Linked DNA regions of Schizosaccharomyces pombe. The protein of the gene in region 2 interacts with the protein of the main gene of each other region in a pairwise test. Each region holds a gene or a part of one and is shown on either strand. Other genes may lie near its edges. The genes, in order: spk1, urh2 and his2.

Region 1 (4,495 bases), 660 kb from region 2:
CTTTGATTTCTTCTTTTTTCTCTTCTTCCTTTTCTTCCCTTGATCCTCCTCTTGACGTTGGTTAGAAGAATAAGATGCGATTGTTTTTTCGTACTGTTTTCGACAGCTTTCCGGCGACTTAGTCCCAAGCTTCTTCGATATGCTATGCCATGCAATGGAATCAGATGCCGGTATTTCCCGTTGTATGTTTGAAGTAGTGTGATTATTGTGTGTGAAAAGGCTTGTCATTTTTTTTGTGTGAAAAGACGACCGGTAAGAAGACTTTACCAAGTCTAATAGCTTTGCTTCCTCTTCATTCGTCCATAATTTGCGCCGATCAATTGTTTCCTGAGTACTAGTACCTACAACAAACCTCCATTGACTCATGCACGCGGCAGGTGACGTTCCCAGTTTGTTCGCTATGCTGTTCCACCGCGTTCCCTCTTGTTCAACTAGGGTGTACAGCTTTTTTAGCTCACTTTCCTCCCATGCATTCCTATCTTTCGGATCCAACGGCTTGTAGATTTCCTTCAAATAACGAATAATTCCTTTTCTTGAAATAGAAGTAGGCAGCAATTCGCGTAGTTCGTTGTATAGAAAGTTGATATTTGTATGTCTTAAGCTTGAAGAACTCATCCGGAAGCCAAACTCTTGTAAATCTACGCCTTCATTATTACAATAAGACAAAACTACTTTTTGAATCACTTGTGCGTCTTCTAGAGAAAAATTAAGTTGCGAATCCTCTTCAGCAGCCAAGCTTCCAATGTCTATCTTTTCGTAACCGGCGACTTGAAAAAAAGCACGCATGTACTTTAGTAAACTATTTTCTTTTCGATTCAGAAAAGATGCTACTGACTCTAAAAACCCTTGAAGTCGACTCCCAGCATGTTCGTCTTCCAATATCTCGATCATTTGCTCCCGTGATATAGACCGAATCGTTAACAATTCATCAATCCTTGCTTGAAACCACTTTTCATGCTCCTCTGTCCATGCATCCTTTCTTTTCTTTGCATTGAAAGAGTTTGTGCTTTCAACTTTGCTTTCAGAATCGTCAGAAGAGGATCGCGCAATTTTACGCTTTGATGCATGATCACTACATGTTTTGACAACGACAGAGGAAAGTGGACTATTTTCCAATAACTGTCGTGTAGCTTCCATACAATCTTTATGGTCATCTGACACAGGCTCACTAGTTCCTCCTAAGGAGTGAGCACGTGAAGGCTTATGTATAAGTGACCCCATTTCAAACTCAAACTCATTATCTTCATCAAATTCGTAAACATCTTTTCTTTTCATAGATTTCATTAAACTTCCAGGCCGAGATTTATTATTAGTGATATTGAAGGTATTGTGATCTGTAAACATAACGTCTCTTTCTTGCATTGCACCCTTACTGCTACATGAAAGTGTAGGACTTTCCAAATTTGAGCGTGTTCCCTGGTTTTCATTTATTGTCATGTCGATAGCTAACATCATTAATTTACAATGCCTTCTAATAACGGGTTAGCCAATTCATGATGAAGTAAGGACGCCAAGGGAAATTTATGAATGTTTAACTATTTTTGTTTGAGAGTTTCAACGGATTTATCTATTTTTTTTCATGCTTTTTAAACTTTCATAAGATTATTATTACGAGAACATAAAATTAAACAACCATCATACGGTTTCTGTTCAACCTCTTCAAGAACCCATTCAAATATCCTTGCATAACCAATTGTTTCTGCTTACCTTGTAAATTAATTATTTCGATTTAGATAGTCTTAAAATATTGCATTTCTTTGCCTTTAATTTCTGTCGTGGTAGATGGAAGGTTTGTAAGTTAGTGTAAACAAAGAATATGCGCGACGCGTCGCGCACTTAAAATGTGTGTTACTTTTTTGATTTCATGTCACTCATCGTTTCTTTATTCTGTCTAAAGATTCGTATCTATGAAGTTTCTGGGGCAATACATTAACAAAGAAACTTTCTTTGTTATTGTAAGTTATAAATGTTGACTAGTCCAACCACACTACTTAACAATTACCAACAGCTTTTCAACAGTTTTGGAAGGGCAATTGAGAAATTGCTAGAGACGGTTTTGAAGGACGCTTTTGCAATTCCCTCAAGGCATCTTTGCTTGGCAATATTTGAAGCATCATTTTTTTATTGAATAACCATTGTGGGCCTTTAATCTCAATTGCGAAGATACATTTGTCTGGTTTTTTGAAATTCTTCCCTTTTACGATTTTTGTATATTTTCTATTTCTTTTGTTATTCCTATATTTTATAAGCTTGCAACCTAATATTTGTATTATTGTTGCTAGCGCCTGTTTTTGAAGTGCTGCCGAACGTCCTTCTTTCGCATTATTTAATTTAATACTAAACTAATTTGATAAAGGGATTTCTAATACATCCTTGTCTATTTCTGTCTTTGGCTGGCAAACCGACTTTTTTCAATATTGTCGGATTTAAAGCACAAAGGATTGCATAACATAATTTATTACAAAGAACGTTGTAATTCTTTTTAATTCTATTTATCTATTCATATCGCTTCATTTCTTTCAAGTTTTTCAATTTGTAGTCTAATGGCGAGCGCTACTTCCACGCCTACTATTGCGGATGGGAATTCCAACAAGGAGTCAGTAGCTACAAGTCGAAGCCCACACACGCATGATCTAAACTTTGAGCTACCAGAGGAATACGAAATGATCAATCTCATCGGTCAAGGTGCTTATGGAGTTGTATGTGCCGCGCTTCACAAACCCAGCGGCCTAAAGGTGGCTGTTAAAAAAATACATCCTTTCAATCATCCTGTGTTTTGTCTAAGAACTTTAAGGGAAATCAAGTTACTCAGACATTTTCGTCATGAAAATATAATTTCAATTCTAGACATCCTTCCACCACCGAGCTACCAGGAATTGGAAGATGTTTATATTGTACAAGAGCTTATGGAAACGGATTTGTACCGTGTTATACGTTCGCAGCCCTTAAGCGATGATCATTGTCAATACTTTACGTATCAAATTTTGCGCGCTCTGAAAGCCATGCATAGTGCTGGAGTTGTTCATAGAGACCTGAAGCCATCAAACTTACTACTAAATGCCAATTGTGATCTCAAAGTTGCCGATTTCGGTTTGGCACGTTCCACCACAGCTCAAGGCGGAAATCCTGGCTTTATGACTGAGTATGTCGCAACTCGTTGGTATCGAGCACCGGAAATTATGCTGAGTTTCCGAGAATACAGCAAAGCTATTGATTTATGGAGTACTGGTTGTATACTTGCTGAGATGCTTTCTGCTCGACCATTGTTCCCAGGAAAGGACTATCATAGTCAAATTACTTTAATCCTTAACATTCTAGGAACGCCTACTATGGACGATTTTTCAAGAATTAAATCTGCACGTGCGAGGAAATATATTAAAAGTCTTCCATTTACTCCTAAAGTATCATTCAAAGCACTCTTTCCTCAGGCATCACCAGATGCTATTGACCTTTTAGAAAAATTACTGACATTTAATCCTGATAAGCGTATAACTGCAGAAGAGGCTCTAAAGCACCCGTATGTAGCTGCTTATCATGATGCCAGTGATGAGCCTACAGCATCCCCCATGCCTCCCAACCTCGTCGATTTATACTGTAACAAAGAAGATCTCGAAATACCGGTATTGAAGGCCTTAATATTTCGTGAAGTAAATTTCAGATAAAAAGCTTCAACTAGAATTCTCCTCATCAAAGGCAACTATGCTGGATGCCAAGCTCTCTGGATTAGGTGCTGGAGATACAACGTTCGGTTGAGTTCCCAGCTTCTTTAGATAATCTCCAGTAGTAGGTCCAATGGTTGCGATCTTTAATTCAAATGTGTTTAATAAAGAGCAAATGGATGTCGGACTGAATGCGACAATCCAATCAATTGTAGGATGTTTTCTAATCGTATCCTTTATTTGGGTTTCTGTATTTTCTAATTCTTGCGTAGCATATACGATTAATGAATCTACTCTGTCGTCCCCCAGTTTTCTTTGAATTATATCCCTATGCTTTTCCCCTACAAGGAAAAGTAAGGGCTTATGTTGTTTAGTCGTAGTATACCACTCTTCAATTAAATCTGCCAAAACCTCACCCCTTCCACAGTCCTTTCCATGTGTTTGCTGAAAACCGAGACGTCGAATACTATCATCAGTCGCCGGACCTACTGTAAATATTGGTGTTTCCATCAATATTTTCTGCCTCTCCGTTTCATCTTCTTGTTTTAATGCTTCATCCAGAGTTTCGCTAACTCGTTGACTGGTAACGATTAAACCACAATAAGTTTTACGAACGTTTTTTAATTTATCTCTAAGCTGTTCTTCGTGAACCCTTTTGTGTCTCAGCACAGGAATGAAGGCTGTATCTCTTCCATATTTTTCAAAGGCCTCCACATATGGATCGAAAGGCTGTGATTTGGTTTTCAATAGCAAAGCAGTTTTCATGCTTTGTCTTTACAATTTGAGAAATGTAAAAAAATAATTACAGTGTCATCTAGTTCCTCAACCTATTCTAC
Region 2 (4,134 bases):
AGCAACCGTAGTTTTACCACAACCAATAGTGGCGATAGGTACAAGTAAGGTGAATTCTTTCCCACAATCATTGTCATTCGAAACGGAAAGATGCATCAGATCTAATTTTGAAAGCACCAAAAACTCATCTCGTAAAGAAATTATACCTTTATTGCTCATATATAATCGTTTAGCATCCTCGTCTTCCTTAAACTTTTTGTCACAGAAAGTAATATATTCAGCCGTTACTTTTTTATATTTTGTGTAACTTGGCTTTTTACCAGATATTAACATTTTGGTGACTTCACGCCATTGACGAAACATGCCATACGGTTCTGGAAATTTATATTTGAAAAAGAAATCATTAGAAGATTGTTGCTCAAGAGATGAATGATCAGAATGACAACGAATAACAAACCCTTCGATTGCCCTGTTATTCCATTTGCCATCTTTAGAGGCATTTTCTAAAAAGGCTTTGAGCTCATGAATGCTATCCATAAAAAATGAAGAAACTTTCATAAATCCCCATTGTTCCGCAAATTCAGCAACTTCACAGGATGATGCAGTAATAAACTGCGGGCAATTCCGATTTAATCCATGCAGATATAGTCCACGAGAATTTCCAGTGTATGGAAGAATGTGCTCTTCAAACTCATCATCACAGAGTTCAGCCACAGCAGTCATGTCTCTACGAAGTAGTTCATGGGCCAGCTCTTGTTTAGTGCGACCAACACTTTGCAAATGTTTTTCAAGCCAACGTTCCCCAACGTTTGCATGAGAGACTGATTGTCCTTCCACAATACCTAAAGAATGCTTGCTAGAAACAATGATCTGTCCGTCTGGCAAAGCTGCAATAAATATGATACAACCATTTTCTTTGACTGTCAATTCATAAGGTCCTTTAGTGTGTTGAGAAAGTGCATCCCAAGTAGTAATAGGGACTTCATCAATATTAAAAAATTTATCGTACCCACGTATAACAATGCGATGTCTTTTACTTTCATAGTCATAGCCAGTAAACAAACCACGCGCGTTTGTAGGTAAAGTAATTCTATGTCCAGATATAGTATCAAAACATTTTTTGCTATTGGACACATTTAAACGAAATGCCTGTTCCCAGATCCTCCAAGAAGTTAAATCATAATTAGATTTGGGAGCTTTGAATGTAACTGATCTAACAGTTGATTTTTTTTCTCCGAATATGCAAACTCTTTGATCACGAGTCTACATAATTCTTGAACCAAATCTTCTGAATTATTAAAATTCAAAACCATAATTTTTTAAGAAAAAATAATAAAGCAAAAGCCTTGAATTCAACGAACTTCCTTTGACTGAATGCTCTACAGAAAAATAAGCAACTATGTATTTTTGGAAGAAATCAATAAAGGAAGAAAAACATAAGCTTTTCTCAGCAGTTGGCCGGAAGAAGCAACTACACTGATTTGAAAAGAGTAGAGCGAAAGACAAAAACTAATTTATTTCTGCTCACAGTTAAGCTTGGTATATGGAAGCAACATTAGTTACGGTAGATTCTATTATGTCTCAGTAAAATCTATTTACAAATTCAAAAATACCTGATAAATCTTGATCTACTAATTAAAGCGAGCACGTATTTATTTCTACTTATCAATAATAAACGGGTTGTTTTTTCATTGATATAATGTTTTGTCTTCTACCTTCTGTGCAAGCTTTAATAAGTTAACAAATTAGCTGAAGTTACAAATCTTTACTTCGTTTTAGCAATAGCATTTTCAAAAGTAAAAATTCCAGCTGTTAAGAATTCCGATAACATTTTACATATGGATGTAACCAACATTATTATTCATTAGCAAACAAAAAATTCGGTTAGTTTTTAATCATGCTAGCTGTTGATAAATGGTTTCAGGAATTAAACGGAAAGTCATTGCAAACACTAACCGTAGCAAATAAATTTCAAATCATAAGTCAAAATAACGTTTTTCTACGTTTTGTGAGCCACTCTCTTGCAGTGCGTTACTCAAATGTATCCAGAACAGCGGAAAATTAAACGAAAATTGATGAAGATAGATTTCAAGCGTCGGCATTTTTGATACATTAATTGTCTACTTACAAGGTCGGTTGAATAGACAATTTCCGCATTAGGGGCTACTAGGCTATCCATCTGTGCAATATTTATTACCATTTTTAAACCACAACACCACATATCTCTTTGCAAGGTTATTAGCCATATATTTTATTGTGTCCTCGTCCAGCAAGAATATTATCTTCGGATGTCCAAAGTAATAAAGTCATAAAAAACCTCATAGCTAGTACTAATCGATTTTTTTTTAAGCTTAGTGATTATTGTGGCACCATGACTAACACAATTGATTCATTCCAAAAAGGCTCCGCATTAGAAAACTATAACATATGGATCGATTGCGATCCTGGACATGACGATGTTGTCGCCTTAACATTGGCTGCTTGCGCTGGACATTGTAAAATTTTGGGTGTTAGTACCGTACATGGTAATACAACGCTAGAATTTACTACCAAAAATGCTTTAGCGGTAATGGAGCTTTTAAATCAAGATGTTGATGTTCATGCTGGCGCAGCGAAGCCCTTGATGCGCGAGTCCGCGTTCGCTACTCACATACATGGTACGAATGGGCTTGCAGGGATTTCATTGCTTCCTGATTATCCCAAAAAGAAGGCTACTCCTGATGCGGTGTTCGCTATGTATACCACTATTTCTAATTATCCAGAGCCTGTCACTCTCGTAGCTACCGGTCCTTTGACAAACATTGCATTGTTATTGGCAACGTACCCAAGCGTTACCGACAACATAGAAAGGTTTATATTTATGGGTGGTAGCACAGGCATTGGAAATATTACTTCTCAAGCAGAATTCAACGTGTATGCTGATCCTGAGGCAGCTAGGCTCGTTTTAGAGACTAAATCACTTATCGGCAAACTATTTATGGTGCCGCTAGATGTCACTCATAAAGTACTTTTAGATGCAAACATTATTCAGTTACTGCGTCAACATAGCAACCCATTTAGTTCCACACTGGTAGAATTGATGACTGTCTTTCAACAAACTTATGAAAATGTCTACGGAATTCGAAACGGTGTTCCCGTTCATGACGTTTGTGCTGTTGCTTTGGCGCTGTGGCCATCTCTGTGGACCTCGCGTTCTATGTATGTGACTGTAAGCTTAGATTCTCTCACTCTTGGTCGCACTGTCTGTGATGTATGGTCGCAACAAAATCAGTATCCGGCTAATGTTCATGTTGTTTTGGAAGCTGATGTTTCATTATTTTGGGAGACGTTTATTGGAGTTATAGACAGGCTCAATTATTTGTAGTATATTTATGACATTATCGACTAGTGTTTTATGTTTATTTTTTACAACGATCAAGTTCTCCCTTCATTTTCAATTTTGAAAGCACTTCAAGCATTCATCATGCCCTCTTATATCATCCATTGGAAATACAAAACCAAATACTTTCTTTTTTACTCAAAGAAGTACGTTTATACTTTTGCATTGCATATAGTTTTATAAAATCTTAGACTATAAAAATATCATTATTTGAATTTAAATACTAACAACAAAGTATGTATAAATAAATGCTTAATTATAAACAAAAGGGTGTACGAGTAAGTGATAGGTTCGTAGAATTGTCAATAGCATCATTTTGGCAAATAAAATCAGTAGACGCCAAGTTGGTCTTTCATAGTACATTAATAAGGCACTTTAAAAAAGCTCAATATGAACAACCAGAACGTATTATATTCTTAAGTCGAAGAAAAGGCTTAAAAATACTAGAATTAATGTGCCAATTTTATAGTCCTATGTACAAGTAGCTTGAGAATATTTTCTGAAAACAAATTCAAGAAAAAAGGGAAGATAAGAATAAATGTAATAGCAAAACAAGAATAAAGTATACAAAGACATTATATTTATGGTCATATAGGGTGGAGAAAGTAGCTACTCATCACCAGACGCGGAAGAGGCTTCACTAGTTGTCTTGTCAGAAAAATTACCATGATCAACAGAGGCTTTCTCCTCGTGATCTGCTTCAGTTTCCTCACCAGTAGGTTCTTCTTTGACAGGAGTTTCTGTGGTAGCTGATTCGTCATCTTTTTCAATTTCCTCTTCTTTAACAGTATTCTTTTTAACTTTTTTAGCGGGAA
Region 3 (4,098 bases), on a different chromosome or scaffold from region 2:
CAATCCTTTAGGGAATCTTGGAATATTTATAGAATCGAATTATTCCTTTGCTGATCACAAATATAACTCTGGAATTTACCTTTTGAATGAAAGCACTAGAAACCATCAAGAGCTTTTAGTACACGGCAAATCAAACAAAGCGCTCACATGGATTACTGATTCAGCTTTTTTATATGCAAGAGAAGATAATTCTAGCTCATCGAGTATCCTTCTTTTTGACGTTAACAATCGATCAGAGCGTATCATATATAATCATAACTCTTCAATATCTGATATAAGGATCGGAGAAAAGAACAACCACTATAGAATCGTTTTTAGTTCAGTGGATAATTCGTTAGTTAAGGGACCTTCAAATGTTCACGTATACGATCACTTGTTTGTTCGACACTGGGATAGATGGAACACAGGATCTAGGAATACCCTTTATTTTATAGAGCTAGATAAAAAAACGGAAAACTCAAATTATTTTGAAATTTCCTCAGAAAAAGCTATTGATTTGTTGAAGGAAACTGGCTTGGAATCTCCTGTCGAACCCTTCGGAGGTCTTTCTGACTTTGATTCTAACTACGACAAACTTGTCTTTGTAGCAAAAGACCCGAAATTAAATCCGGCAACACAAACAAAGACAGTTGTTTACGAGATTAATCTGAACACTCGGAATCTGAAGTCATTGAGCACTGCGAAGGGTGCATGCTCTTCACCAAGACTAGCCAAAGATGGAAATCATATTGCATGGCTTGAAATGCAAACACCACAGTACGAAAGCGATCAAAATCAAATAATGGTATATGAGTCCGAGTCAGGCGCTAAAAAGCACATTGCTCGTCATTGGGACCGATCGCCTTCCAGCATTGAATGGGGGGTTTTCAAAGGAGGCGAACCAGGTCTTTTTGCTATTGCTGAGAATTATGGGAAGCAAATTTTGTTTTTTGTTTCTATATTTCACCACCAAGTTATCCCAATGACAGAAGAACACTCTGTTTCTTCTATTAGTGTCCCTAAATCTTCTTCCTTATGGCTTACGAAGTCATCTTTAATCAATCCCCCTTATTACGCAAAGATTAACGTTGAAACGTTAAACGAAAGTGTTTTACTCGAGAACAATGTCGGATTATCGCCAACTTCTTATGAAGAAATTTGGTTTCCTGGCACTCATGGTCACAGAATTCATGCATGGATTGTAAAGCCCGAAAGTTTTGATAAATCTAAAAAATATCCTGTAGCAGTGCTTATACACGGGGGACCTCAAGGTTCTTGGACAGATAGTTGGTCAACGCGCTGGAATCCTGCAGTTTTTGCTAATGCTGGTTTTATTGTATTTGCTCTTGATCCTACTGGATCTACAGGTTATGGACAACGTTTTACCGATTCCATTGCTCTTGATTGGGGTGGTAAGCCATATAAAGATATTGAACTTGGTGTTGAGTACATAAAAAATCATCTTTCCTATGCTGATTCTGAAAAAATGGTTGCCTTAGGTGCTTCCTATGGTGGTTACATGATTAATTGGATTCAAGGACACCCTTTAGGTCGTCAATTTCGTGCACTTGTATGTCATGACGGGGTATTTAATACCCTCAATACTTTTTACAATACTGAAGAACTTTATTTTTCTATTCACGATTTTGGGGGTACTCCTTGGGAAAACAGAGTTATCTATGAGCGCTGGAATCCTTCAAATTTTGTGAATTATTGGGCCACTCCTGAACTTGTAATTCATAGCTCAAAGGATTACAGGCTTACCGAAAGTGAAGGAATAGCCGCATTCAATGTTTTGCAGTACAAGGGAATTCCTAGCAGATTACTAGTCTTTGAAGACGAAAACCATTGGGTCATTAAACCTGATAATTCCCTACGTTGGCATAAAGAAGTGCTTTCGTGGATTCTTCACTATACTAAAGATTGTAATGCCAATGAAGATGAAACGTTTTAGATTAATTTTAATAATACAACTACGATTATTTAATAAATTTTTTTTTGTTTCTCTCGATCTTTGTTAATTCTATTACCGCGGATAAAAAGTTGCAACCGCGGTTTATCCGAAGACATATCAAATTTAGATCTTTGCTGTAAGGGAAATCGAGTATTCACCGATCCAGCCATTCCTTAGCCAACATTGCATTAAATTTTTAGAGAGTCGATTTAGACTTGACTACCTTTAATTTACTTAATAATGCCGGAATACGAGATTCAGGTGCCTTCTTATAGAGCTGCTGCATTAACCGCCGAAGAACGTACACGATTACTTGCAAGACCCATTCAGAACACTCAAAAAATTCGTACGATTGTCCAACCGATAATCGAGGATGTTAAATCAAGAGGAGAAGCTTCTCTAATAGATTATGCTTCCAAATTTGAAAAGGTTCAATTGAAGTCGGCTGTCTTAAAGGCTCCGTTTGACGACGACTTAATGAAAATATCCCCAATGATTAAAGAGGATATTGATATTGCTTTTAACAATATTTTTGCTTTCCATTCATCACAGCTGCGTCCTACAATTGCTGTTCAAACCATGCGTGGTGTAGTCTGTCAACGGATGTCTCGTCCTATTAACCGAGTTGGTCTTTATATCCCTGGAGGAACTGCAGTGTTGCCATCTACTGCTTTGATGCTTGGAGTTCCGGCGAAGGTAGCTGGCTGTCCTCATGTAGTGATTTCTACGCCAGTCCGAAAGGATGGTACGGTTGCGCCTGAAATTGTATATATTGCAAATAAAATTGGTGCTGAGGCTATTATTTTGGCAGGCGGGGCGCAAGCAATTGCGGCCATGGCATATGGAATATCCGGTGTTCCTAAAGTTAACAAAATTTTTGGCCCTGGAAATCAATTTGTTACAGCTGCAAAGATGCATGTTCAGAATGATTACGGGGCTTTAGTTGCTATTGATCTTCCTGCTGGTCCCTCAGAAGTTTTGGTAATAGCAGATGAGACCTGTAATCCTGAAAGTGTTGCCTTGGATTTATTGTCTCAAGCAGAGCATGGTTTGGACAGTCAGATCATTTTGCTGACTGTCTCTCTATCTCCCGAAATGTTTGACCGTATTCAAAAAGCAATTAATGATCACGCTTTACGACTTTCTCGTTCGTATATCATCAAACATGCTATCAAGAAGTCGGTTATTGTACAGGTTGACAATGTTGATCAAGCTTTTGAATGGTCTAATTTGTATGGTCCTGAGCACTTGGTCTTGCACTTAAAAAATGCTTCTTCATACATTCCCAAAATAGATAATGCTGGTAGCGTTTTCGTTGGTCCTTGGTCACCTGTAAGTATGGGTGACTATGCGTCTGGTACCAACCATACGCTTCCTACATACGGGTACGCCTCTTCTTATTCTGGCGTTAGTACCGATAGCTTCTTAAAATATATCACTACCCAAGAGCTCACTGAAGAAGGAATCCAGCGGTTGGGCCCTACTGTTATTCGTCTTGCTGAGTTGGAGGGTCTCACTGCGCATGCCGATGCTGTTCGTGTTCGGGGAGTTAGACTTTGAAAGGGGTTTCCTTTTTACGTATACCTAATTAAGGATTCGGCTTAAAATAAAATTTGTGTTTGGTACTAAATTTGACAAAGTATTTTTAGGTTATGATTTATTTTATTTTATTTTATATTTTTCAATTTAATTTTAATAGTATGAATGGGCATCCAATATACTGAGTAATTATCCATTAATTCAACCTGAAGTTAGTTGGTGTCGCGTCGCGTGTCTCGACTTTTTTCTAGTGAAAACGAACATTCCCTTTAACCAAACCTGCAATTAAGCGTTACGGGAATTTTAACGGAAACGATCATTAAATAATGAGTTATTCAGTTTCAGCTGCTCAATTATGGTCTCGCAAGTTGGCAATGCAAGCCGAAGATATGCAACAGCATCAAAAGTCACAGAGCAATCAAATTGCTAGTTGTTTGGCTGAAATGAATACCAAACAAGAGGTAGTTAATCAAACGATCGGTCAACTAGGACGATCTATTAGTGAAGTCCAACAACAAAATTCTCAACTAGGTAAGTGAGATTTAGAATTTCCCAAGTGGTTGGAAGTCTGACTTAATAGTACTACAATCTTTGAATCAAATAAACATGTCTATGCAGCAAGTGGC

The links.
Region 1: the proteins of urh2 (region 2) and spk1 interact in a two-hybrid assay, tested with the Schizosaccharomyces pombe proteins (one large-scale study listed by BioGRID).
Region 3: the proteins of urh2 (region 2) and his2 interact in a two-hybrid assay, tested with the Schizosaccharomyces pombe proteins (one large-scale study listed by BioGRID).

The regions. Positions count from the first base shown.
Region 1 is NC_003424.3:2,999,017-3,003,511, reverse strand, and holds spk1 (MAP kinase Spk1), read left to right. Parts: upstream 1-1,993; 5' UTR 1,994-2,543; coding exon 2,544-3,662; 3' UTR 3,663-3,668; downstream 3,669-4,495. Other genes in the region: RNA polymerase I termination factor, Myb family Eta2, read right to left, coding at 1-1,455; hem4 (uroporphyrinogen-III synthase Ups), read right to left, coding at 3,669-4,424. UniProt on the Schizosaccharomyces pombe protein: Involved in mating signal transduction pathway.
Region 2 is NC_003424.3:2,342,504-2,346,637, forward strand, and holds urh2 (uridine ribohydrolase), read left to right. Parts: upstream 1-2,017; 5' UTR 2,018-2,311; coding exon 2,312-3,304; 3' UTR 3,305-3,541; downstream 3,542-4,134. Other genes in the region: negative cofactor 2 complex subunit Bur6, read right to left, coding at 3,929-4,134.
Region 3 is NC_003423.3:2,157,744-2,161,841, forward strand, and holds his2 (histidinol dehydrogenase His2), read left to right. Parts: upstream 1-2,101; 5' UTR 2,102-2,173; coding exon 2,174-3,493; 3' UTR 3,494-3,548; downstream 3,549-4,098. Other genes in the region: ppp16 (acylpeptide hydrolase), read left to right, coding at 1-1,933; meiotic recombination protein Rec15, read left to right, coding at 3,799-4,003, 4,053-4,098. UniProt on the Schizosaccharomyces pombe protein: Catalyzes the sequential NAD-dependent oxidations of L-histidinol to L-histidinaldehyde and then to L-histidine.